7 linked regions of the Ovis aries genome follow. The protein of the gene in region 7 interacts with the protein of the main gene of each other region in a pairwise test. Links are inferred from orthologs where the notes say so. Each region holds a gene or a part of one and is shown on either strand. Other genes may lie near its edges. The genes, in order: MGAT5B, IPO13, DVL3, ZBTB32, SPAG8, MAGED1 and PITX1.

The links.
Region 1: the proteins of PITX1 (region 7) and MGAT5B interact in a two-hybrid assay, tested with the Homo sapiens proteins (2 studies listed by BioGRID). The link is inferred for Ovis aries from reciprocal best matches to the Homo sapiens genes PITX1 and MGAT5B.
Region 2: the proteins of PITX1 (region 7) and IPO13 interact in binary tests that used the Homo sapiens proteins (3 or more experiments, as listed by UniProt). The link is inferred for Ovis aries from reciprocal best matches to the Homo sapiens genes PITX1 and IPO13.
Region 3: the proteins of PITX1 (region 7) and DVL3 interact in binary tests that used the Homo sapiens proteins (3 or more experiments, as listed by UniProt). The two-hybrid records come from large-scale screens. The link is inferred for Ovis aries from reciprocal best matches to the Homo sapiens genes PITX1 and DVL3.
Region 4: the proteins of PITX1 (region 7) and ZBTB32 interact in a two-hybrid assay, tested with the Homo sapiens proteins (2 studies listed by BioGRID). The link is inferred for Ovis aries from reciprocal best matches to the Homo sapiens genes PITX1 and ZBTB32.
Region 5: the proteins of PITX1 (region 7) and SPAG8 interact in binary tests that used the Homo sapiens proteins (3 or more experiments, as listed by UniProt). The link is inferred for Ovis aries from reciprocal best matches to the Homo sapiens genes PITX1 and SPAG8.
Region 6: the proteins of PITX1 (region 7) and MAGED1 interact in binary tests that used the Homo sapiens proteins (3 or more experiments, as listed by UniProt). The link is inferred for Ovis aries from reciprocal best matches to the Homo sapiens genes PITX1 and MAGED1.

The regions. Positions count from the first base shown.
Region 1 is NC_056064.1:54,259,288-54,262,787, forward strand, and holds part of MGAT5B (alpha-1,6-mannosylglycoprotein 6-beta-N-acetylglucosaminyltransferase B), read right to left. Parts: intron 1,766-3,500; coding exon 1,635-1,765; intron 1-1,634. UniProt on the Homo sapiens protein: Glycosyltransferase that acts on alpha-linked mannose of N-glycans and O-mannosyl glycans.
Region 2 is NC_056054.1:18,605,408-18,608,503, reverse strand, and holds the end of IPO13 (importin-13), read right to left. Parts: exon of another isoform or gene 1,700-3,096; intron 1,690-1,699; coding exon 1,623-1,689; intron 1,535-1,622; coding exon 1,476-1,534; intron 1,326-1,475; coding exon 1,236-1,325; intron 946-1,235; coding exon 764-945; intron 670-763; coding exon 573-669; 3' UTR 501-572; downstream 1-500. UniProt on the Homo sapiens protein: Functions in nuclear protein import as nuclear transport receptor. Serves as receptor for nuclear localization signals (NLS) in cargo substrates.
Region 3 is NC_056054.1:203,768,112-203,771,347, reverse strand, and holds the end of DVL3 (segment polarity protein dishevelled homolog DVL-3), read left to right. Parts: coding exon 1-217; coding exon of another isoform or gene 218-243; exon of another isoform or gene 244-1,058; coding exon 1,059-1,090; 3' UTR 1,091-2,736; downstream 2,737-3,236. UniProt on the Homo sapiens protein: Involved in the signal transduction pathway mediated by multiple Wnt genes.
Region 4 is NC_056067.1:45,734,591-45,738,691, forward strand, and holds the start of ZBTB32 (zinc finger and BTB domain-containing protein 32), read left to right. Parts: upstream 1-1,301; 5' UTR 1,302-1,306; coding exon 1,307-1,335; intron 1,336-2,435; coding exon 2,436-3,419; intron 3,420-3,676; coding exon 3,677-4,101. UniProt on the Homo sapiens protein: DNA-binding protein that binds to the to a 5'-TGTACAGTGT-3' core sequence. May function as a transcriptional transactivator and transcriptional repressor. Probably exerts its repressor effect by preventing GATA3 from binding to DNA.
Region 5 is NC_056055.1:52,733,887-52,738,101, forward strand, and holds SPAG8 (sperm-associated antigen 8), read left to right. Parts: upstream 1-1,415; 5' UTR 1,416-1,452; coding exon 1,453-1,490; intron 1,491-1,593; coding exon 1,594-2,461; intron 2,462-2,563; coding exon 2,564-2,738; intron 2,739-2,922; coding exon 2,923-2,968; intron 2,969-3,052; coding exon 3,053-3,167; intron 3,168-3,206; coding exon of another isoform or gene 3,207-3,305; coding exon 3,306-3,368; intron 3,369-3,476; coding exon 3,477-3,653; 3' UTR 3,654-3,789; downstream 3,790-4,215. Other genes in the region: adenosine 5'-monophosphoramidase HINT2, read left to right, coding at 76-180, 285-357, 479-570; NPR2 (atrial natriuretic peptide receptor 2), read right to left, coding at 4,160-4,215. UniProt on the Homo sapiens protein: Microtubule inner protein (MIP) part of the dynein-decorated doublet microtubules (DMTs) in cilia axoneme, which is required for motile cilia beating.
Region 6 is NC_056080.1:53,606,162-53,608,416, forward strand, and holds the end of MAGED1 (melanoma-associated antigen D1), read right to left. Parts: coding exon 2,221-2,255; intron 1,664-2,220; coding exon 1,549-1,663; intron 1,306-1,548; coding exon 928-1,305; 3' UTR 920-927; intron 712-919; 3' UTR 501-711; downstream 1-500. UniProt on the Homo sapiens protein: Involved in the apoptotic response after nerve growth factor (NGF) binding in neuronal cells. Inhibits cell cycle progression, and facilitates NGFR-mediated apoptosis. May act as a regulator of the function of DLX family members.
Region 7 is NC_056058.1:44,096,455-44,099,954, reverse strand, and holds part of PITX1 (pituitary homeobox 1), read left to right. Parts: intron 1-3,215; 5' UTR 3,216-3,283; coding exon 3,284-3,452; intron 3,453-3,500. UniProt on the Homo sapiens protein: Sequence-specific transcription factor that binds gene promoters and activates their transcription. May play a role in the development of anterior structures, and in particular, the brain and facies and in specifying the identity or structure of hindlimb.

The sequences.
Region 1 (3,500 bases), on a different chromosome or scaffold from region 7:
GTGCTCACTCCCTTACCCAGCGCCCCAGGCATCCTGGCCGCCAGCTTGTCTGGCATCATATGAAAATGGCCCCTTGGTTCTGTCCCCACACTCCATGGTGGGCACTGATGTCTCAGCCAGGGCTTGGAGCCTTAGTCCAGCCTCCAGAGCTTCTCTCTGCCACCATCCAAGGTGTCATAACCAAGGAGGATATTAAGAGTCCTGGCCCTAGAGTTAGATGTGGGTTCTAATCCCAGCCCTGCCCACTTAACTAGTTGGTCACACTAACCTCACAGTTGATGGTCAGATGAGAAAATATATGTGAGTACCTGGCAACAGTAAGCTCTGGCTGGATGAGTATTAACCATGGCTGCAACCTTAGAGGGTTGTCTTGGCATAGATCATGAGATGTCCCTTAATTCTCCCCCTTACTCAGTCACAGAACTCCAGGGCTAAGCTGGGCACACATGGCTAGAACACACCTACTTCCAATGTCCCCTAACTCTGGCTGTGGCCACGGGACTGAGACCTAGCCACGGGGCCATATGGTGCAGAGCTGTGTGTAACCTTCAGGAGATATGCCAAACCTGGCCTTCCTCCTCCTCCTCCTCCAAAGCCCCCGACCCCGCACCACCCGCTGAAGGGCAGATGTAATAACTGCACTCCGTGGTCACCTTAAACCACGAAGCAAGACTGCAGATGGGAACTAAACGCAGCGAGTCAACCAGGGGAGAAGAGCCCCAGGGGTCAACCCAACACTGACAGCTCCAGGGCTTGTCAACAGGAAGGAGGACACACTTCCCTCTTGTCTCAGTCAAGGTTAGTCAGGGCTTTTCTTTGACAGCTGGACCTAATCCATACAGCGTGAGAATCTTTAACCAAGATGGTCATGTGACAGCTTGACACGGGGTATGGGGGCTGCCCGATGGTCCCCACGATGGGCATCTTTATTATTAACCTTTAACCTCATGTCACCTGTCTTAGGTCAACTGTCCCTCCTAGGAGCTGCTCTGTTCCACACCGAGCTGGACCCTGACCTCCAGGCCCCAGAAAGAGCCCACCTGAGACCCCGATGTCCCCATCACCCTCCTCCCTTGGTCTGGTCCATCCACAGGTGCTACCAAGCCCAGAAAGCCCAACTTGAGAGCATCCGCAGGGGAGACCCTGTGGAGAGCAGGGAGCGGCAGGAGGTGGAAGGAACATGCAGCAGTCACCATACCTGGAGCTGCTTCGTTGCCAGGGGGGCAGAGAGAAAAGAGAGAGAACAGGTCAGCGGCCAGGTGAGCGGTAACGTCCCACACAGACGGTGCTTCTCGGAGGGGCTTTGTCTTGAAGCTGGGGTTCCAATCCCTGGTCCTCTCTTATTTCTCCCCTGCCTCCCACCCCCCAGAATCCCCACATGTAGCCTAAACCCCTTTGGTGGGTTAGAGTGTTTGTGTATCTACCCGAGCGAGGGTGGGGGATGAAGACGTTTGAATTTGTTGCAAAGAGTGGGGGCAGGAAGGGGAGTGAGGCAGGAGTCCCAGGCCGGTGTTTCCAACGGCAGTTCTTTTTTGACCATTAGTGGGGGCCGTTTCCACTGTCCAGGGCTGGGGGGTGGGAAGTTCCTGGGGGCTGAGGGTTGGTGATGGGATCTGGGGGCCGGCGGGTCTCACCTTCCAGATACTCGCCTCCTTGCCGTACACCACCGCCATGTTGCTGGCCTTGCCATCTTTGATGAGCTGCTTTTCTGTCTCATTGAGCTCCTCGGACACGAAGCCCATGAAGGAGTTGTCCGGGGTGTGAGCTGCAGCCAGATCACGAGGTCAGGAAGGGGCATGCTCTGGTCTACCCGGGACTGGCCCCATTGGAGGGGACACCCGTTTGGCAGGGAAGTGGAAGGGGGCAGGAGGTAAGGGGTGCGGTTTGGGTTGGGCGGTGGGGAGAGCATCCATCCATCAGGGCCCCGGCCCCCTTCCGCGGCATCTCTCACCGCCTCCCCACTCTCTCTCCACGCAGGTCTGTGCTCACAGGGCCCTGCTAAGAGGTCTTTCCTGACCCCAGCCCCTCTCCGTCTCCTTTCCCTGCCTTATCTTTTGCCCCAGAACTCACTGATCAGACACGACAGTGCATACTGATTTGTTCGTGTGTTACTGTCAGAATCTAAGAGGGCCGGAGCTGTCTGTGTCCCCGGCCCCTGGGAGCACCTGGCCCGGCTGGTTCACGCATGCGCGGACCCATCTTCGCGTTCACACCTGCAAGCTTCTGCCCCTGCGCTTCGCTTAAGCGCCCACCGCCCTTTTCCATGATGAGAGTATTCCGCTCCAGGGCCCCACTCGCACTCCTCTCCTCCCAAGAGCCTTCTCTGGGGTCTGAGTGCCCTCCCTTTAAGGGCCTGTCTGGCGTGCTTAGGTCTCCGGCAAAATGCGGATTCGCACCCTGACTCGCTTCCCAGAACCCAGAGCACCAGGGTCAGGATGTGCCCTTCAGCTGCGTCTCCAGTTCCTCGGCCAGGCTCCAGGCATATCACTGATTAGCTCTGTCTGCCGCGGCCGGCTGGAGAAGGCTATGGCACCCCACTCCAGTACTCTTGCCTCCAGTCCCAGGGATGGGGGAGCCTGGTGGGCTACTGTCTATGGGGTCGCACAGAGTCGGACATGACTGAAGCGACTTAGCAGCTGCGGCTGGCTAAAGGAGTGGGCACAGGTGCCATCCATCTGCAAGGACCATGGTCTCTCCTTTCCATGCAAAGGACCTCGAGCAGAATGCCTATGGTACCCAATTACATCTACTCTACCTTCCCTGTGGGAGAGGTTGCATGTGGGAAATAGGTTGGCAGCAGCCATATGGCCTTGATTTCCCAGAACAACCCTGAGGCCAAACACCCCCTTTCTTCATTTCAGATGCACGTTTTTCACATCTTAGCATTTCTGTAACTGAGATATACTTTTTTTTTTTCCCTTTTGGCCGTGCCACCCGGCCTGTGTGATCTTGGTTCCTCCACCAGGGATCGAAGCCGCGCACCTTGCGGTGGAAGCACGGAGTCTTAACCGCTGGACTCCCAGGGGAGTCCTGGGATGTATACTTTAATCAAATGTGTAGATTTGACATAGTATGTCTACCCAACCCCCTCAATACCCACAAAATTCTTAATATCTGGTGCATCTTAGAAGAGGCGGTGGTTTTCTATCCAGAAAGCTCATGGACTCTAGAATGTGAAAATCTGACCATTGTAAGGACAAGTCTTTGCTGGCTGCAAAAAAAATTATCTCCCCTCTGGCCTTCCCTGGTGGCTCAGCTGGTAAAGAATCCACTTGCAATGCAGGAGACCCTGGTTTGATCCCTGGGTCGGGAAGATCCCCCGGAGAAAGGATAGGCTACCCACTCCAATATTCTTGGGCTTCCCTGGTGGCTCAGATGGTAAAGAATCCACCTACAATGTGGGAGACCTGGGTTCAATCCCTGGGTTGGGGAAGATCCCCTGGGGGATGGTATGGCAGCTCTCTCCAGTATTCTTGGCTGGAGAATCCCCATGGACTGTA
Region 2 (3,096 bases), on a different chromosome or scaffold from region 7:
CTCACTTCTAGCCCAAGGCCCCAAGTCCTTTACCTAGGAAACCTCCCACTGCCCTCAGAAATGAAACTTCCTCCAGGAAGCCTTCCTCACTGGTTCCATTCTCCCAGTTTAGTGAGAATTATGGTTGCTATGGACTACATCAGCCTTTGTTCAGACAGAAAAAGGCACGGCATGATTAGTGGCCTAGTATTCAGCACCATTGGTTATATAAGTGTATGCATGCATAAACACTGGGACTAATTTAATTTAGGGGCAGGATGCTGACACTCGGCAGTCACCACCTACCCCAAGGGCAAGGGCAGTATTTGGATGGCTCCAGTCTAGGCAGCTTGGCTGTAGTAAAGCTCCTTTCACTCTAAAAGCTGGAGGTTTTAGATGGAGGTTGGCTCCATCATGCCCTACCAAGGCCTGGGTCCAAGCATCCTCCCATCCTTCCCCCAGGTCATCTGAGGTCACCCAGTCAGGTGGTGGTGGCAGTGGAAAGGAAGCAGAGACAGCAGTGCCGTGAGGGTTCAAGTTTACTCTTTGGGGATAAGGAGGGGTGAGGAGGTGTGGGTGGGACGGGGCGCCCCTCAGTAGTCAGCTGTGTAATCTGTGCCATGTAGCCCCCGGCACAGCAGTGTGAATTCCTTCACCATCTCCTTCACCCGCCTCTTGTTTACTCGCTCGCTGAAGGAGAGAAGGGAGAGCAAGTTATCACCACCACCCACCACGGCCTCCGCCTCCCCGTGACCCGAGCCCGGGCCCTGCCAGCTCTGCTCACCGAAGGATCTGTTGGCTGAAGGTGTCCTTCTGTTCGGGGCTGAGTCGGGCAGAGGGAAAGCCAGGTGCCTGAAGCGCCTCCTTGATCCACACGCTCAGGAGGCTGAAGCAGTGTTTGTTCAGAGCAAACAGGATGTCGGCAAAGCAGTCCATGAGGCTGCGGGAGGCCTGGCCCCCAATGGCCTGAGGGAGATGGGTTCTCAGCACACCAGGGCCTTGCCCCGTCTGCAGCAAGAGAGCCTAGCCACACCACCCACTCCCGGGCAGTTCCTCAGCCACAGTGCACATGATGAGTGAGCGTTACTTGACACACGATAGCTGATCCTCACAGCGACCTAACAACTTCCAGCCATTTACTTGATGAAGAAACAGAGCTTAGGGAACCGAGATGCAAGCTTGCCAGGAGGACAGCTGCCTCAGCAGTGAGGGCCGCCCCATCCCCAAACCCGGCTGCCCCACCCGCTCCGTCTCACCTCCAGCACTGCTACGAGCAGTATGCGGCCATCTTCCTGCACCACCTTTCCCACAGGCTCTACTTCCCCACACCGAGGCAGCAGCTCTGTCTACAGAGGATGGAGAGGCCCGTCAGCCCCCCTCTCCCCCATCTCCCTGGAGACAAGGCCTGCACACCACACCCCTACCCCACAGAGTCCTGGGCCGGGTGGGTGGGGTGTAAGGACGGTGCAGGGTTTGGGGGTCAGCACGGGACTCACAAAGAAGCCACAGGAGGCCTTGACAGTAGGTGCTTCGGGGAACTTGAGCGCCAGCACAGCTGAGAGAGGCAGAGGCAGATCAGGTGGGGCTCAGGGATGCTCCCGAGGGGGCCCCAGGCCCACCTGTCCACCTGGCACCCCACTTACCACATTGGAACACAGCTTTGACATCGAGTCGTTCACATAGGAACAAATCTGGCTTCCGCTTCAGAGCCTGTAGGAGGTGGAGCTGGTAAGCCCAGCCCTAGTCGACTCTAAGAATCATCCTCCCACTCACCTGCCACGCAGGCCCCAACCTCACACACCACAAGTGAAGGCTGCCAAAACCAGCCACCCAGCCATCTCGGGAACGAGACCACTCCAGAGTTCAGTGTGTCAGGAGGGGAGCAGCCAAGGGATGCCATGTACGTGTATGTGTACATGAACGCACATGTGCATGAGAGAGGTTGGGAGTCATAATGCCACAGCCTGGGCCCCAGTCACCCCCGAGCACACACATCACCCCACCCCACCCCCCACCACAGGGCCAGACCTCCTGCAGGCTCCAGGTTGCCAGCAGTGACTTCACTTTGATTCACAGAGGCAGTTGAGGCCCCCTTGATTGTTATCAGGGCAGAGATGGCAGCTGGACAGGGAGCCCAGTTCACAGCCCCCCTCTTATGTCCTGCCTGCATTCCTCAGACACTCTCCAGCTTAGGAAGAGGAAAGGCAGGGCAGGAGCCCGGGAGCCGCGGCCCCACCTCGCCCAGGACAGCCTGTGTCCGGGCCCTTCTCATTCATACCCAGCCCAGGAGCCAGGGCTGCCATGTCAGGGGAAGTGGATGGAGTATAGGGGCTGAGAGCTCACCCCAAGTGGTACCAAGGCGCGAATGGCACATCCTCGGGTCATAGGAGATGCTCTACACAGCTCCCACAGTCATCAAGCACTGCTGTCCCCCAGCAGCCCCCCAATGCATTCCACATCAACCCCCAACCCTCCAGCCTTCATATACCTTCCACTCCCTCATTTTCACTCAAGCGCAAACAGCCCCACAGGCCCCTCACTTAAAACGCCCTACTTACCCTCTATCACACCTCAATCACATCCCTTGTATACACCACTCTCCCCATTTGCAACACACCCTCGCTACACATTCATCCCAAGCCCAACCCTGTATCCCCAAACCATATGCACACACCCAGGCCCTCACCCTCCCCAGTTCTCTAGCACGCACACTCTCCCCATGCACACCCACGCTCAAATGTCCTCGCCCAAAGATACACCCTCACACACATGTCCACCCAGGCCCAGAGCACACTGTCCATTCCCACTCCTATACCCCTCTACTAGGCTGTAAGTGCCAAGAGGGCAAGAACCGTGTCTGCTTTTGCTCACCATTATATTCTCAGCACCTACCACATGATCAAGCACGTTTAACACACTCAAAAAATATTTGTGGAGTGATTAAACAAAGAAACACATCACAGACCCCAACCCATAGGAGCCCCCAACTCACAGGATCTCCCTGACACACATACTAACCCCACATTCCCACAGCCCGACACATGTAACTTCCCAAACATACAACCCTCATACAGACACACCACTACCATGTATACTCCTACCCTCCATTACATGCAC
Region 3 (3,236 bases), on a different chromosome or scaffold from region 7:
CACCACTCGCTGGCCAGCAGCCTGCGCAGCCATCACACGCACCCAAGCTACGGCCCCCCTGGGGTGCCCCCTCTCTACGGGCCCCCCATGTTGATGATGCCCCCACCGCCCGCGGCCATGGGGCCCCCGGGAGCCCCTCCGGGCCGCGACCTGGCCTCCGTGCCCCCCGAACTGACCGCCAGCAGACAGTCCTTCCGCATGGCCATGGGAAACCCCAGTGAGTTCTTTGTGGATGTGATGTGAGCAGGGCCCCTCCCCCACTACCATCCTACCCCGCCCCAGGCTGGCTGCGTTCCTCTCTCCGTCCGTCTTTTTTATTTTGTCTGGTACCTGAAAGGGAAATAAATGGAACTAAATCCAGGCGCGCTAACTGCTCGCTGGGTGCAGCGAGGGTGGGGTGCACCCACTGATCGGCAATGCAGCCCTTAACCTGCCACCGGCCCCAGCTTGTCCCTCTGCCCACTAACTGCTGTGCAGGACTTCCCAGGATCATTCATGTCCCTGGGACCCAAATGGCTAGTGCTGCTCCTTACCCTCCCCCAACCCCGTACACACATATTTCAAGAATTGACCCCAGAAGTGCCCTTGAAGACCTGCATACCCGTCATCCCTGCCTCCCCTCTCCCAGTTCCTTTTCTCCATTCATTTAGCGGCATCATCCCTCTATTAATCTTGCATGCATGATTCTTGACTTTTTCCCTTAATACTGACACCAAAAAAGACTTGCTTCATCTGCCCCTCCTCCTAACTGTCCCCACCTACTGCCTCAGCCCTGCACCCTAGAGCTGCAGTCCCCTCCAATAACCATGCATACTAACCCTGCCTGCACGCAACCTTAGCAGAAGCCCAGAGGGCCCCCTCAGTTGCTTGAGCTGCTAGCAGATCCCAGGGAACATCTCTGCTCTGCACCCAAACCTACACCCACCCCATGCCTGCCCCATGTGCTGACTCCTTCAGACCCCTAACCCTGCTAATCAGCAGGCTCATCTCACCTCTGGGCTGAAACATTTCTTTTCTTTTCTTTTTTCCTCTCCCAATTTTTCCTGGGCCTGGAGCAGCCAAGAATTTCGGGCTGTTTGACTTTCTGTGAGTCCCCAGCGAGAGGAGGCCCAGCCTCTGAGGAGACCAGGAACCTTGCTTCAGCAGCCCCTCAGGGCTTTCCAAGGATATTTAGCCCCCATACCCACACTTCAACAAACATGTCAAGTCACTAGACTTCTGAGAATCACCCCAGCCTCTCACCCACCTACGAGAGCCTCTGTTCCCCTTTCCCCAGAGAGTTCTCTGCTCTCTCATTCCCTCTCTCCCTTTTTCTCCCTCTCTGTCTGTCTGTCTGTCTGTCTCTCTTTCTTTCTCTCTCACACACACACACGTGCCTATGCAAGTTCACTTAAGCCTCAGGGCTGGTCCCTGACCAGAGGGCTGGACCCTCTCTCCCAGTCCTCTCCCAGGTTGTGGGGCTGGTCCCCTGACTTTTCTCTCTTCATAGCCCTCACACCTCCCACACATGTGCCCATCATCTTCCTATCTGAATAAAGCCCATAAGCTGGACTCAGCACAAGATACCCCAGGCAACTAACAGTGTTTTCACAGTCATCATGATAACTCAGAGCAAGGTTGGGCAGGAGGACTTCTGGGATTTCAGATAGAGTACCAGGTTTTGTGGGGTGATTTTTTTTCCTTAACCATATTCTCCCATTTAAACAAATCACAGCTTTCTCTATGAGCCTCTTCTATAAATTCTGGCTCACCTAGGCTTCCATATTTTTAGACCTGGGGTATCAAGAGTAAGATGAAGTCCTAAGCTCCCAAGTTTTGGTGTAAACCAGGGTAGGGGTATTTTGGCATTCATTCATTTAACACATATTCCTGGGATCGGGGGTGGGGGGGTGGTGCCTAAGGGCTGTGTTAGAAGTGTAACTCAGTCTTGTCTTCCTTCTGGGAGCTCTAGGTTTGCTCCCAGCCCAGATCATGGTTGCCTCTAGCCACTACTATGGGGCTGCCTCCTGTACTTCTCTTCCTCCTCTGGTTTCGCCATCTCTGACTCTCTTGAGGATTCTTCCACTATTGCTCATGCCTTAAGGGTCCCTGTATTCCATCATTGGTCCACTTCTCTTTCCTCTCTATTTACTTCCAAAATAGAATCATCCATCCTGATGTCAATTGCCATTGATATGCTGGTGATTCCCCAATATATATCTCCATCCCTAACTGCCCTTTATCTTTAGATCGGTATTTTTATCACCTGCTGGATATCTCCTTGGACATGTCCAGATAGGCTCAACTTTTTCCCTCCATACCGCCAAGTATGTTCCTCCTGAATTCCAATCCTGGTTACATTCATCACTCTTAATAGGCTCACCAGCTAGAAACATTTATGGGCTTAAATTCCTTCCCATATTTTACTAGTCAGTATATCATATCCATTCCACTCCAAGTTTTCTTGAATTTGGTCCTTCCTCTCCCCTCTGCCTCTACTCTAGTTCACAGGAGCTTGGGATTTGGAGTCAGGTTATTCTGGGTTTGAATCCCAACTCTACTACTTTTTGGTTGTGTGATAAGAGAGTTATTTAATCTCTCTGAGCCTCAGTTTTCTCATATGTAAAATGATAATAATACCTACCTCACAGGGTTGTTGTGAGGATTTAAATTAGATATTGTACGAAAAGTGCCTAGCACAGTGCCTGGCACACAGTAGAATAGGTGCTCAATAAATGGTAGCTATTATTATTACTACTACTACTATTATTATTATCATTATTATTTACTCTAAATTGGTAGGGGGGTACGGTAAATATTGAGACTTCCCTGGTGGTTCAGACAGTAAAGCATCTGCCTACAATGCAGGAGACCCAGGTTCAATCCCTGGGTTGGGAAGATCTCCTGGAGAAGGAAATGGCAACCCACTCCAGTATTCTTGCCTGGAAAATCCCATGGACGGAGGAGACTGTTAGGCTACAGTCTATGAGGTCGCAAAGAGTCAGACACGACTGAGTGACTTCACTTTCTTTCACTTTCTTTAGGGTAGGTGTTGAGGACAAAGCTCCTAGAAAGGTAGGAGTAAGCCTTGAGTGCTGGTTCAAGAATTAGACGAGCCTGTATTCAGTCGCTTCATGGCTTAAGACTGTGACCCTGATCTGTAGGAGGTCAGATTTTCATCCTGCCATATTCTGGTTTCTATCAGGAGAATTCTAGGAATAGTAGGATTTGCAACTAGGTTTGCCCTTTCTTGCCCT
Region 4 (4,101 bases), on a different chromosome or scaffold from region 7:
GCACACCCTGTCTGATCTAGGAAGGGATAACATCTGCTTGGACCCAAGCTAGAATGAGAGGTAGAATGAAGGTATGTTAGGTCTCAACAGAGAGTAGAAGGGTGGTCTGAACATTTGGGGGTCCTGAAGCCAAAAGGCGAAACAGGAGTTTGAGAGACATAATATTTGAGTCTAGGAGGGAATCAGACTCTAGCATCTAGTAGAGAAGCCTTGGGGAAAGCAGACTGGGTCTTGTCATCAGAACAGCCTACCAGTGCCTGACTTGTTACTCTTCTAGTTATTTATTAGGCATATGTCAAGCACATATCGTAAGCTATCTAGCAATACCTGTTCTATGCATGAAAAATCTGCAAGAAATAATAAACAAAAAGAAATGTGAGTCTCTCAGACCTCATCTTTTCCCCAGGTTAAGGAGTGCTAAACTGTGAAAAGAGGGCAAATCTCCGAGGACCTTCATCCCCTGGGCAGGAAGTCAAAGAAACCCCGCAAGTCCTGATTTCAGAGAAATGTCATTTGTCACCAGCCCAAGAAAAGTTTTTCTCTTTGGAGACCACCGCAGGCCCTTCCTGGGGTTGCCCCCTTCAAAGCGTGATGGGAGGATCTGAGTCACTCACATACCCTGTCCCCAGCGATGGCCCAGATGGCCTGGGTCATTCCCACAGAGGAGTGGAAGGTTCCCAGTACCAAGTCAGAGAGAGGGAGGAGGAGGCATGCTTTTGGCCCTCTTTCGCTCTCTTCTTAGAATCCAGATGTTTCAGTCCTTTTTACTTTTGAGGTAGTATAAAGAGCTTCCAGCTGCTAGAGCTCTACTGACACCTCTAAGAAACAGAACTAATACTATTTGAATGATGCTACGTACTGAGAAACCACTTTCACATACATCATGTCATTTCATCTTCACCCCACCTCATAATGAGGTAGGCAGAGCTTATCCCTATTTCACAGATGAAGTAACTGAGGCTCAAAGAGGTGACTTGCCCAAGGTGACTCAACTAGCAGATGGCAGAGATGAGAGTCAAATGCAGGTCTGATTATCCCAAAGTTCTTATTGCTTCAGATATAATTCTTTGACTCCAGAAATTCACAGATGAAATAAGACCAGAGGTCAGGAGGCAGAATGCTTGAGTTCTGGAAGGAGAGGAGTGGTCTCTCCTGGAGGGGTGAAGCTCAGCCAGGGGTGTAAGACCACACCCCTTGGGGGACTGTGGCAGACTGATACTTGGGACACCCAATGGAAGACTGTGAAGTCAGGGGCGGGGCTAGCTCCAGAGTAGGGGGGCCAGGAGCCCCAGCAGCAGTTCAGAGCATGCGGTGTCCAGGAGGAAGCTACAACCGGTGAGTGGTTGCTTCTCCCCAACTGAGACTTTCCTCCCATTACATTCCTCTTTCTGTCCACTTCCTGCCAGCCTGTACCCCTCCCTGTGAGGTGTCCAAGTAGTAATTCCTCCCTCTACGGGATCTGTACTCAGGGTGAGCCTACACTTAGGAATATGCCTGCTGGGCTCTGGGACACTTAGGTCTGTCTCTTTGTATCTGGGTTCCCAGTTCTCTTCTTAAAAGCCAAGGTGGTGGTTTTGATGTGTGACAAACTTCTGCCTTGTTGGGTTCTGTCTTTCTAATCTTCACTTTTGGCTTATGAAAAACAAAATTGAACTGTCTCCTTATCCTTATCTTGAGAGGAAACAGCCTCTCCCTCCACAGTTTCCATTTCCCTTTCGCCTGCTTCCTCCAAGGTCAAAGCCTTTTCCGACATCTCTCCATCCCTGGGTGAGGAGCCTTCTCTCCTGTGGGTTCCAACCTGCTCTCTTTATCTCACTGCATGGGAGCTTTTGGTCACTTCCAGTTCTTTCTCTGAGGATGGTTTCTAGAAGTTTCATCCTGAGGGAGATGATCAGTTGATGCCTTGAGCCTGCTTTCTGCAGCTATGACCCCATCTTGCTGCCCTTTTTTCCTCTCAGGACCCTCAGCCCCACATGACAGGCTTGCAGGAGGAGGACACACTGGCTTTCTAAACTCCCATGAAACTGTGTCTAGCTCCACCCCTAACTTACAGGGCTGACTGGGTTTTGTGGTGATCCTGTCTGGAATGAGAGCTGGGGCCTGTTCGGGGGTCTTTCCCTGCAGAGGAGCTTGGAGAAGCAGAAATATCAGTGTCTGCTCTCCTTTAAGTCAGACATTGCCAACTCTGCTCTCCCTTAAGTCAGACATTGCCAACTGGCAGGACCCATCTATCCACTACTTGAGATAGCTCTTCAATGTGCAATCCTTGTTCTTTTAAGTCCTGAATTTGGTCTAATTTCCATTCTCTCACCACCTCCACACCTGCTATGATTCTGAACAGCCTCGGGTTTTCTCTTGGGTCATTTTTTCTGCTCCATTCAGGACAGAGAACTGATTCAAATCCAGCAACTCACTTTCTTCCCTCACCTCCACAGGCTTGAGTATGCGGTTCCTCCCTCCCCTTTTCACCACGGACCCTACACTGTGGCCTTTCTCTCAGAACCTCTGAGATTGGTACCAAGGCAAGGCACAATGCCCCTGTCCCCAACAAGACTGCCTAGTCCCTATGCTTCTGATCGGCTGGTACGGTTAGCAGCCAGGCTCCGGCCAGCACTATGTGATACCCTGATCACAGTGGGGAGCCAGGAGTTCCCTGCCCACAGCCTGGTCCTGGCAGGTGTGAGCCAGCAACTGGGTCGCAGGGGCCACTGGGCTGTGGTGAAAGGCATCAGCCCTTCCACCTTTGCCCAACTTCTGCACTTTGTTTACGGGGAGAGTCTAGAGCTGCATCCTGGGGAACTGGGGCCCCTTGAGGAGGCAGCCAGAACACTGGGGGTGCAGTCCCTGGAGGAGGCATGCATTAGGGCTCGAAGGGACATGGCTAGAGAAGAGCTGGGTCCAGGGCTGAAGAACCAACAGGAGGAGCTAGAGAAACACACAAGGGACTCGATGAGAGGCGTGGGGGCCTTTGGGGAGAAGCAGAGACCAGAGAAGTTTGTTAGAACTGGTGGGAAAGAGCAGGAGACGTTGCACAGGCCGCGGCCGCCAAGAGAGAGCCCTGACATGGCAGAGGCAACTCTGGAGGGTCGAGGGGAGCAGATGAAACCAAAGGAGCAACTCCACCAAGCCCTTGTTGGCCATGGCAGAGTCAGTGGGAAGCAAGAAGTAATCATGTGGTTGAGGGACAGTGCAAAGGGCTCTGAGGAAAGTCTGCGGGAGTTCCCTGGCCCCCTTCCCCCAGCAGGTTCCTTCCAAACTGGCACCACCCCCAGCCCTTGGTGGGCTGAGGCCCCTTGGTTGGGGGAGGGCCAGCCTGCCCTGTGGAGCATCCTTCTGTTGCCACCTAGATATGGCACTCCCTTCTCCCATAGCATCCCTATGACTGGAGCCTGGCAAGAGGTCTGGCCTCGGGACCAGAGGTGAGTCGAAGGGCTTATGGAAGACCTCTGGCTGGGAGGGAGTGGTTCAGGAGAGGCAGCAGTGATGGGTGGAAGGGTACCACATCTCTTATCTCTACTATACATTTCCTGAGTTGTGGTAGGACAAGAAGTTGTCACCACAGGGCAAGCCAAAGCCCAGGCCCCACAGAGGACTTATGACTCCTCCCTCCCCAGAAAGGGATCTGCAGGATCCCAGGTGTAACCAAGGCTGTAACTCTTCCCCATCCCACCCCCAGGATCCCACTGCCCCTAAACCTCCATAAAGGCCTTTGGAGCCAGAACCAGCTGGCCTCCTCCAGCCCCACCCCAGGTAAGCCCCTCACTGCCTGGCATGCACCCTGTAACGTGGTCTCGAGGCTGGGACTGAGGCCAGGGCTCCAGGAGTCCAGCTTGAGCAGGGCGCCTGCTTCACTCTGTTCCCTCCAGGTTCCCTCCCCCAGGGCCCCACACAGCTCAGCCCTGGGGAGCCGGAAGAGTCTGATCACAGGCACACAGGTGAGTAGAGTGAGGGTGCTTTTGCCTCAGCGCCACTATGGCCCCAGCCTGAGTGTTCCAGTGACCCGGCTCTGGGAATCCCAGCCCTGCCCTCCTTTGCCTTTTGTTCCCACAGGTAAACTAGCAACCTGTGTGAGTCAGGTCGGCACCGCAAGCCGTCCATCTC
Region 5 (4,215 bases), on a different chromosome or scaffold from region 7:
CCCCCTAAGAATTTCATAAATACCATCCAGCCGGTTGAAGTAACATGGTGGCCTCTGGCCTGTCACTGCTCCCAGTGTCTCGTATTCCGGGATGTGGCCCCTCAGGCTCCTGTGCACTTTCTGGTCATTCCTAAGAAGCCCATTCCTCGGATCAGCCAGGCTGAAGAGGAAGACCAACAGGTGGGAAGGACAGGGCCAGGGTTTGGCTGGGGGAGCCCTGTATTCCTCTAGAAATTTTGCTGCCTGTAAGTGAAGCAACCTATCTCCCTCCCCTTTCCCTGTAGCTTCTTGGACACCTTCTCCTTGTGGCCAAGAAAACAGCAAAGGCTGAGGGGCTGGGTGATGGATACCGACTTGGTGAGTGATGTTTGGCCCCTGAGCCCTTCCCTCGACTGTGAATTCTCACACCTGCCCCTCTGTGTGACCATTCTTTGACCTTCCCATAATCCTCACCCCCTAACCCAAAACTCCATTTCAGTGATCAACGATGGCAAGCTGGGTGCACAGTCTGTGTATCACCTACACATTCACGTACTTGGGGGCCGACAGCTCCAGTGGCCTCCAGGTTGAACTTACCAAATGACCAAGGACCCCTGACTTGGATGTTTGGATGGGATGGGGGAAAACGGCACCCTGTGAAGCTAATAAACTCGCTCTCCCTCAATTCTGGATCCTTGTCTTAACTATATGAAGATTTATACTACAAATAGGAAAGAAAACTGATTCAAGACTATGATCCCCCTTGACTATGGTCTGAGACACTTAAGGAAGCCCATTCTGTAAAGGAGTATTTAAATACCTATATATCTCTGAGCTCAAGACTGGTGGTCTACCTGGGGCAGGCTTCTAGAAAAGTAGGAATTCGCCTGAATGAATAGGAAGAGACTGAATCCCAAGACTTGCCAAGCCACATTCTAAGCAGGGTCTGTAAGGAGGACTGTCAGTGTGAGGGCCTTTTACTGGAAGAGAAATAATCAAACCCCAAAAAATTGGCCACCCTTTGGCTAATCCCCAATTCTCACCATTTTGCTTTTGAGCTACTTGTCTGATGCCTCTTCATCCTTAAAAGCTTTGAAAAAATGTTCCTCCATAAATACACGAAATAGGCCTTTGACTGATACCTCAGCCCTGTGCCTGTTCTAAAACACAAAGAACCACCTTCAGTTCAGTTCAGTTCAGTTCAGTTCAGTCGCTCAGTCGGCCTCTTTGCGACCCCATGAATCGCAGCACGCCTGGTTAGTTATGGAGGCCAGCGGAACTTTAAGAGCCGGGCTGACGCGGAAGGGAATCCGGACGGAAGGCAGCCATTGCAAACCACAGCGGGTTTAAGACTTCCGCCCCGCAGAGAACTTGTCAGCACCCTCACCCTCCACGTCCGCCTAGCTCTAGTTCTGCGCAGTCTCCTGGCAAGGTTTGCCGTCTCTATGGCAACCCAGTAGCTGGCGTCGGAAGATGGAGACCTCTGAGTCTACTGACAGATCGCAGTCGCGGTGAGAGCCACAGCTCTGGCTGCGGGCGGAAGGGGACAAGGAAGTTTACAGACTTTGCTGTGCTGACAGCTTTGCCGCTTTCACTTTTTTTTTTTTCCCCCAGATCTTTAGACTTACAGCCCAGCTCGGACAGACTAGGGTCCAGTTCCGATCCCTTTTCTTCTTGGGATGGCCGTCATAGATCGGCCCTGGTAGCTGCAACCGCAGCAGCTTCAGCAGCTGCTTCAGCCGCCTCCACTGCCAGAGCAGCTGCATTATCGACAAAGAGCCCAGCCCCCTACTCTCATGGGAGCCTGTTCACGGAGCCCTCCTCTGACAGTCTGACAGAGCGCTACATTGGACCCGGATTTACCCACAAGATAAGCCACGGGAGACTCGGCTTTCAGCCTGTCAATGTTTCCCATGTTGCTCGGAATTCCTATACTACAAATGACCTTAGCTCTAGTCGTGGCCCTGTTCCTGGCTCCAGTTCTGGCCCTGTTCCTGGCTCCAGTTCTGGCCCTGTTCCTGGCTCCAGCTCTAGCCCTGGTCCTGACTCCAGCTCTGACCCTGGACCTAGCTCCAGTTCTGGTCCTGGTGGTAGCCCTGGCGGTGGCTCAGGTGGAGATCCTGGCCATGGCCCTGGTCCTGGTAGTGGCTCTGGTCAGGGTCCTGCCGGTGGCTCTGGTCAAGGCACTGATCTTGGTCCTGCTGTTGATTCTAGGCATAGCCCAGGCCATGGCCATGGCCCTAGGTTCAACTTCTCTGCTCCTGTAGGCTTCAGAAACCCCAGGGGAGATCTTATCCCTAATTATACTGGCTGCAAACACCACTGTCACTGGGAGCCGCAGAAACAATCCTGGAAATTTTTGAAAGTCTCAGAACCTGGTGCCCGAGGGCTGTGGAAGCCCCCCGACATTGAAGGGAAGAGTACGGTTCTCAGTGAAACACTGCCACGGGGCCAGTGCCTTCTCTACAACTGGGAGGAGGAGGTATTAAGGTTTGACCTGCTCCCTTTTCTTGAAGGCTGCCCTCGGTTGATGGGGGTGGGTTACAAGGAAGGATATCATTGTCACTCAACTTGGGGCCTACAGAGAGCCACCAACTACCTGGATCAAGTCCCAGTCATGCAGGATGGCTCTGAGAGTTTCTTTTTCCGACACGGACACCGGGGACTGCTGACCCTGCAGCCACAGTCACCCATGTCCTCCTGCACCACCCAGAAAGACTCCTACCAGCCCCCAACAAGCCACTGTCAGCCAATTCGAGGTATGAAACATGAGAGAATGGGCAAGAATGAGTCCAGTAGAGAAAAGAATATCAGGTGGGCCTATGGTTGTCTGAGGGGTGTAAGGACAAAACCCAATTTTTCCTCCTTTCCCCAACTTTGTTTCTTCTGGGCCTGTTTCTTAAGCAGCCTCCTCTATTCTGTCCATTCCCTGACCTCCCCCAGGGAAGCGTGAAGCCATACTGGAGATGCTCTTGCGCCAACAGATCTGGTGAGAGGCTGGGTGAAGGGAAATGGGGAGGGGGAGGACAAAAGTCAGGGGAGAATGCCCTTGACCCTCCCCAGGCCTCTGTAGTAAAGAGGTGCAGGCAGAGCAGGAACCCACAAGGAAGGACTTTGAGTTCGAGTCTGTGACACACCACGACTACAAAAAGGAGCTGGTGCAGGCAGGGCCTCCCGCCCCAACAAAGGTAAGAACGCAGTCACCCCCACCCCTCACCCTTGTACAGCTGGGTTCTGACAGGCTGTGGGAAAGCAGCCAGCCCAGAGGCTGAAGAGCTGAAGAGTCAACTCTTCAGGCCAAGAGTTACGCAGTATTTCCCTCACAGCTCCATGACTACCGTACAGAGCAGCCTGAAACCTTCTGGCTAGAGAGGGCACCTCAGCTACCGGTGTGTGAGAGTGACCGGCTGTTGGGAGTGGGTGAAAGGAGGGGAGGAGGCTGTTCTGTCCTGGGTTGGGGCAGAGCAGGCCCCATCCTCATTCTGGCATTCCTCCAGGGTGTCAGTCACATCAGGACACTAGACACACCATTCCGGAAGAACTGCAGTTTCTCAACACCTGCGCCTTTGTCTCTAGGGGAGCCGTTGCCCTTTGAACCTGAGAGTTATTCCCAACAAGGAAAAATATCTTCCCTTGCCTGTCAGGGAGGGGCGCAGGGTGGTGGAGGGTGTTGAACTACTCCTGTCTAAGGGCTGAGGAGGCAAGTAGATGTGGAATATGGAATCTCCTCTCTGTACTGGAGAGGTGGGGAGGAAGTGAATTTGGTCTGTACTTGGTGACAGGGTTTTACATAAAAAGTGTTCTCTCTCATCCTGAGACTGCTGATTCAGTGATTCTGTGAGTTACTGTGTCCATACCCCAGAACCTTGAAGCCGCCCCTTACACAGACTATGTCACCCATAACTGTTTTTGTTTGTTTGTTTTATATTTGGCCAAAATATTCTGGTTTAGATACAGATATTTACAGAAGGTAGGGAGGAAGGGGACCAGGCCAGAGAGGGACAGGTATATGTACAAGACTGAGCTGCAAAGGGTAAGTTTCCATATAAGGTGGGGGTTTTATGAATGTTGGTTTCCATCTCATGTGACAATGTCCACTTCTGATGTGTGGAGAGATGATGGCTACTGCCCACCCAGGTACCAGCAGCAGAGGATTGTCTGGCTTGAGAAGAAGTAGGGTTTATAGGAGCCCAGCAGGTCCTTTCCGCTCTCCTAGGAGCCAGTAAGTTCGCATCT
Region 6 (2,255 bases), on a different chromosome or scaffold from region 7:
TTCTTCTCACACAGGAAACTCTGGCACCTGGTTCATCATGTTCTCTGCTCCTATTCTTGCCCCCATCAAAGTTATTTCACTTTCCACATGGATAATATAACCAACACCCTTGAGTCCCCAGAACATTATCTCCAGGAACAGCTACATTCCCTTCCCTTCAACCACCCACTCTCTCAACTTTATTATTATTACCTGGAGTTCTACCTCCTGTCTTCTTAAATGCAACTGTCTGACCACCTACACCCTCTCTCATTTCATCTTTCAATGTCACTCCAAAACACCTAGCAGCATATCTATCACATGATTCACTTAAGTGATATTTAATACCATATCTATTTTTAGACCTCTTTTAACATTCACGTTCATCAATCACTCTTTTGTTTCCATATCCATTAGCTAGAAAGCTGATCTGCCCTTCAGGCTAGTACTGAGGCCCCATCTCTCCCATATAAACATGGTGATTTCTCATTAAACCCAGAAAAAACAGAGAACACATCTAATTTACTTTGCAGTTTCAATGTTTATTTCTGATACCAAAACTTGACAGCACACAAGGGAGGGGGTAAGCAATAGACAAGGAACAGCAAATAAATTTTTCCTGCATGCCACTTTCAGTCAACAGGATGTGGCTCTCTAGATAGCTGCGTTTAGAAGGATTCTGAGGCTTCATCCTCACTCAGGGGAAAGACAATTGCAACGTATTAGCAATATCTGTGAACATAAAGAAGAAAAAAAATTAAAAAATCAATGCATATACCAAGTAGTAAGGAATATAAATAACAAATACTGCTTCCCCATACTTCCTTCATCTCATCACCATGGGTTTCCTAGAACTCCCAGCTAGAGCACATAAATACATTCACATGGACTCTGTAACTCCCAGTGACCCTAAGTGCCCAATCCAAAGTGATATACCTACCCAAAATCTCACTCAACCCAGAAGAAACCGATGGCACCAAAGTTGGCAGCAAAGTTGGCACTGGCTGTACCACCAGGGCCAATAATGGGGCCGGCAAAGGTCTGAGGAAATCTGGAGCGAGCATTCTGGTGGTATCTGGCCCAGAAGGTAAATGGGATTCTGGACCAGGGATCTCCAAAATCTCCTTCCTCATCCCACGTCAGCAGCTCAAACTCAATGTCATCCCAGCTCCAGGGCCCAGATACGGCCTCATCTCCAATCCCCATGCGGGTTCTCGCCTCAGCCCGTGCCTCAGCCTCGGCTGCAGCAGCATCCAAAGCATCCAAGGCCTCATCTGCGGCCTCCATGAACTGTGCAGTCCAGTCACGAGGGTCTCTCTTCTGAACCTGAGATGAGGAGTAGAAAATAAAGCCCATGATAGTATTAGTTAATATTTATGAAGCACCCACTATATACTTAGCACCCTACTTTGTGCTACTGTTTACACAGTAACAACAAAAAATACCACCAACAATGTGGCACCTACCATGTGCAATACCTAAGAAAGATCTCATTCCTGCTCTGGACTTCTCCCAGCCAGTCATACTTCATCCCTTAACCTATCAAGTCTAGAGCTGTTCCTCTATTACCTCTGCAATGAATCGTAGCACTTTCATCTTGCTAGTCTCATGGTAGGATCGGAGGCCCCAGAGGAACTCATATTCAGGAGGGTTGCTGTTGGGTACTCGTCTGTAGTCTAGGTACCTTAGAAAGAGGAGAAAGGCCTTTGTTTCTACTCAGCCAAAATGAGAGTCCATCAATGCAAAATAATCCGAGATTCTGACACCTCAGATTTCAGGTAGCAACTCCCTCCAGTCTCATTCCTAAACACAGATTATTTACCCTCTAATAATTAGGCCTTCAAATTCCTGTGTTTCTACACTAGTCACCTAGGACTAGAGGATGACTTATGTAGAGTCATAGAAAGGACAACACTTTTTCACCCCCTCTGCCACAGTTCTGACTCCGGGTTGTTACAATCTTGTTACTGAACCACAGATAGGCCCATTGCAAAGCCTCTGCTAACCCAGCCTTAGGAATATCTACTGTGGGTGTGGTGGACAAGCTTCACTTGCAAGATAACTATACTGCAGGAAAATTCAGCCACAAGGAATATACTCAGTAAATATTCCTGAGTATATATGTATGCATATGCATAGGTATAGTTAATATAAGAAATGAGCAGCATGGGAAGGGCTTTCTGAGGCTGACCAGCACACAGAATTCATGAGGACAAGACAAGCCACTTAGGCATCGCTTACTTTTGTTTTACAAATTCATAAGTGAGAAGCTTCCT
Region 7 (3,500 bases):
GTCACACAGCAAGAGCCAAGGGAACATTGAGTCCCTGCTCTTATTCCTGAAAGAGAGCTGCCTCCTGTCTCATGTGTGTGTGTGTTGCATCTGTGAGTGTGTGCAAGAAGCCCCTATTCTGCCCAGGATAGCGGCCAGGGGAGAGAGCACCCCAGGTCCCTTCTCCAGCCAGCACCCGAGATCAGGCCAGGGCCTCCTCTGGATCAGTTCCTCACCCCTACTCCTTCAGCGCTGACTCTAGTGGAGAAAACACCCCTGGGCAACCCCCACTAGTCTCAGCCCCTCCCTAGGGCTCAGGGCCCCGGGATATGGAGCTTCACCCGCAATAGTCTGAGGACCTTTCAGTCCACACAGCAGGCATCAAGATTTCCAAATATAGGGATTGTGACTACTTGGAGCACTGCCAGAGGCTTGGATCTGGAGGGGCACACAGCAGGTGCTCAATAACTGCATTAAATGCATCAACAGTGAGGGACACAAGTCCCTCAGACTGAGTAGCTAGAGCTGCAGAGTCGCAAAACAGTCCCCATCCGCGGAACGCCTGACTCTTTAGACCCTCTGGGGAATGTGAGTTGTGATGGCCAGCCTCTGGACGCCCAAAGGCAGACCATTCATTTCACGACCCCTCCCAGAGGAACACTGTGCTTCCCACCTTGGCCTGACACTTGGTGGGCTTAGAACACACCCCTCTCAGCCAGATTTCGCGCCAGACAGCATCAGTGTTCTGGAGCTCAGAGGCCTGGTTGTGTGTACATGTATGTGACTGTATTCAGCACTCCCCTGTGTGGGCGCAGTGAGTATGTGTGTGTATGTGTGCACAGCACACCTGTACAGGTATGCAGTACATATAAGTATTTGCATGCTTCTGTGATCCTGGCACGCTGGGTGGCTCACTGTCCCTTCGAAGTAAGGCAGCTACCAGGAAGGTGGCATGCGGAGGGGCACTCACTGGCATGGCATAACACCTAAATACATCCTTGAAAGGAGGTATTGCTCCTTTAGGAGATTCAACTGGAAACTGTGGTCAAAGATGGGGCTGAGGCCAAATGCTCAGCAACCACTGTTCCCTGTCTCCAGGTACCCCTCCCCATCCCCTACACACCAAGTATGCTTTCTCCCTGGGGGTCTCAGCCTACAGGAAATTCCCTTCGGAGAAGTTAGAGCCACTCCCCCAGCCCAAACTCCTGGATGCATTCTGCTGTGGCCCCAGCCTCCGAGTTTGCCCCCTGTGGTCACAGGCACCCAGGGAGAGTGGGCTTGCCCTAGAACTGTGCTTGCTCCCCAGGACCCAGAGCTGGGGGCCTTGGACTGGGGCCAAGGGAGTGAGAGGCAGGCCTGGTTCTACCCTGCCCACGCCCCTGCCCCCACAATCCTCACCAAAGAGCTCAGCCTGGGGTGGAGGCAGGTGACTGCCAGGGTGATAGGGAGCCAGGTGAGGAAAGGGACTCCTAAGGGTCCCAGAGCCTGACAGCCTGCACAGTCAGCCCCAGGCAGAGATCCCAGGAGAACATTAGGATGCCCTGGGCCCAAGCGTGAGGCACTGGGCCTGGAGATGACCACAGTACTTCTCCGGGCCTCACACCCCACCCCCACCACCATCCTGCCCAGTGCTGCTTCTGTCTGGTGGAGCACACAGAAGAGGGGCAAAGGGCACCCTGGGGTCCACCTGTGGCTAGAGGAACAGGTCAGGGCTGCACCCTACCATCCCAGCGGTCACCTATTTGCTCAAGACTCTGACATCTCAGGACCAGTTAACAATTGTTAAGCAAAATCCTTCAACAAACTTCAGTGAAGTAGGAGGATTCAAGGAGGGACTCATTCTAAGGGATGGGAAGGGGAATGTGTTTGTGCTCATGGAGTGCCCACTGGTGCTGTAGCTTAGCTACCGTTGTAGCTAAGAGAAGCTCCAAGACTGTCCTAGGCTTCCTGGCCTGTTTGGAAACTGCAGTCACCTGGCCTGTCGGGCCTGTGCCTGCCACACTTGAGAAGCCAAAGTGAGGCCCTGCGAACCTGCTGGGAAGGGGGCAGAGAGAGGCCCACCCTGTGGTGGCCAAGGCCGGGACCTGGCGGATTTGGCCAGACCGTTGAAGGTGCAAAACAAGGGGAGAGAAGAGGCTGTGGGGGCCTGGCAGGGCTCTTGGGGTCTCCTGCTGCACTCGACAGCGGCCTGGAGCCAACAGAAACGTTTCGTCTGATTAGAAGCCATCGGTTCTATCCCAATCCCGGAAAATTGACTGCGGTGCAGAGGGGGTAGGCCTGAGAAGCAGCCTTGGGGGAGAGGGTCCAAGCTAATTAGGAGGCAGCATCCGGGGGCCCATTAGAGCGCAGGCTGCTGTCACTCAGCCTGGCTCGGGTCCCGGGAGAAGATCCCGGGGAAGGAGGGGCCGCGGCCCCTCGACGAGGACGCCGCTGGGAGCTGCCGGAACGAGCCCCGGGCTCTGCCCCCGCCCTGGCGCTGACTCGCAGGCTCCCGGTCGGTTGGATCCTGCTCGGTGAACGTTCACTCATCCCGGGCTGTTCTCGCCAGAGGCTCGGAACTTCGAGGCGGCCCAGACAGGAGTTGATTTCTGAGCGAAACAAGTCATTTGGGGCTTGAGGTGGGCACGAGCCGCGCGGGGCTTGCAAGCCAGATGCGTTTCTTTTGTGCGGCCGAGGGAGAACTCAGTGTGCCACCGGGGAAGGAGGGTGAGGCGCGGCGAGGCCGCGGGAGGGGGGAGGCGGCGGGAAGGTGGCTGCGGAGGGGGAGGGCGCGGGCGAGGCAGGCAGAGAGGGAGGGAGGGCGGCAGAGAGGGCGCGGCGGCGCGGGCGGCTCGGGGCTGGATTCCGCCCGCGCTCCCTCGCTCTCTCGCTCGCTCCCTCCCTCCCAGCCCCCTCCCCCGCGGGCCCACCCCACCCACCACCCCTGGCGCAGGGACTGCTGGAACCTGGCGGTGCGCGCTGTCGCTTTAAGACAGACTCTGCCGGCGCCGTCCGGAGCCTTAGAAACCGGCCCCGGATCGGGAGCCGGAGCCGGGGCCGGGCGGGCGGCTGAGGCCCGAGCGGCAGGAGCGCAGCGCGGAGCGCGAAGCCGGGCCCCCGGGTCGCGAGAAACCGCTGCCGCTGCCGCCCGCCTGGCCCCGCAGCCCCGGGCGGCCCATGGGGCGAGCGCGGCGTCGTTGCGGGCGCGGGCAGCCCTGGGGGGCAGCCGCTTAGGGGCTGCGCTCTTGTCCTCGCAGGTCGCCGCCGGGGCGGCCGGGCGCGCCCAGCCCCGGCCCCCGGAGCGCCCGCCTCGGTCCCCGCCTCCATGGACGCCTTCAAGGGGGGCATGAGCCTGGAGCGGCTGCCAGAGGGACTGCGGCCGCCACCGCCGCAGCCGCACGACATGGGGCCCGCCTTCCACCTAGCCCGCACGGCCGACCCCCGCGAGCCTCTCGAAAACTCCGCCAGCGAGTCGTCCGACACGGAGCTACCAGGTAAGAGCGGCTCCCCGCGAGGCGCGCGCGGAACCACCCGGGCGAGCA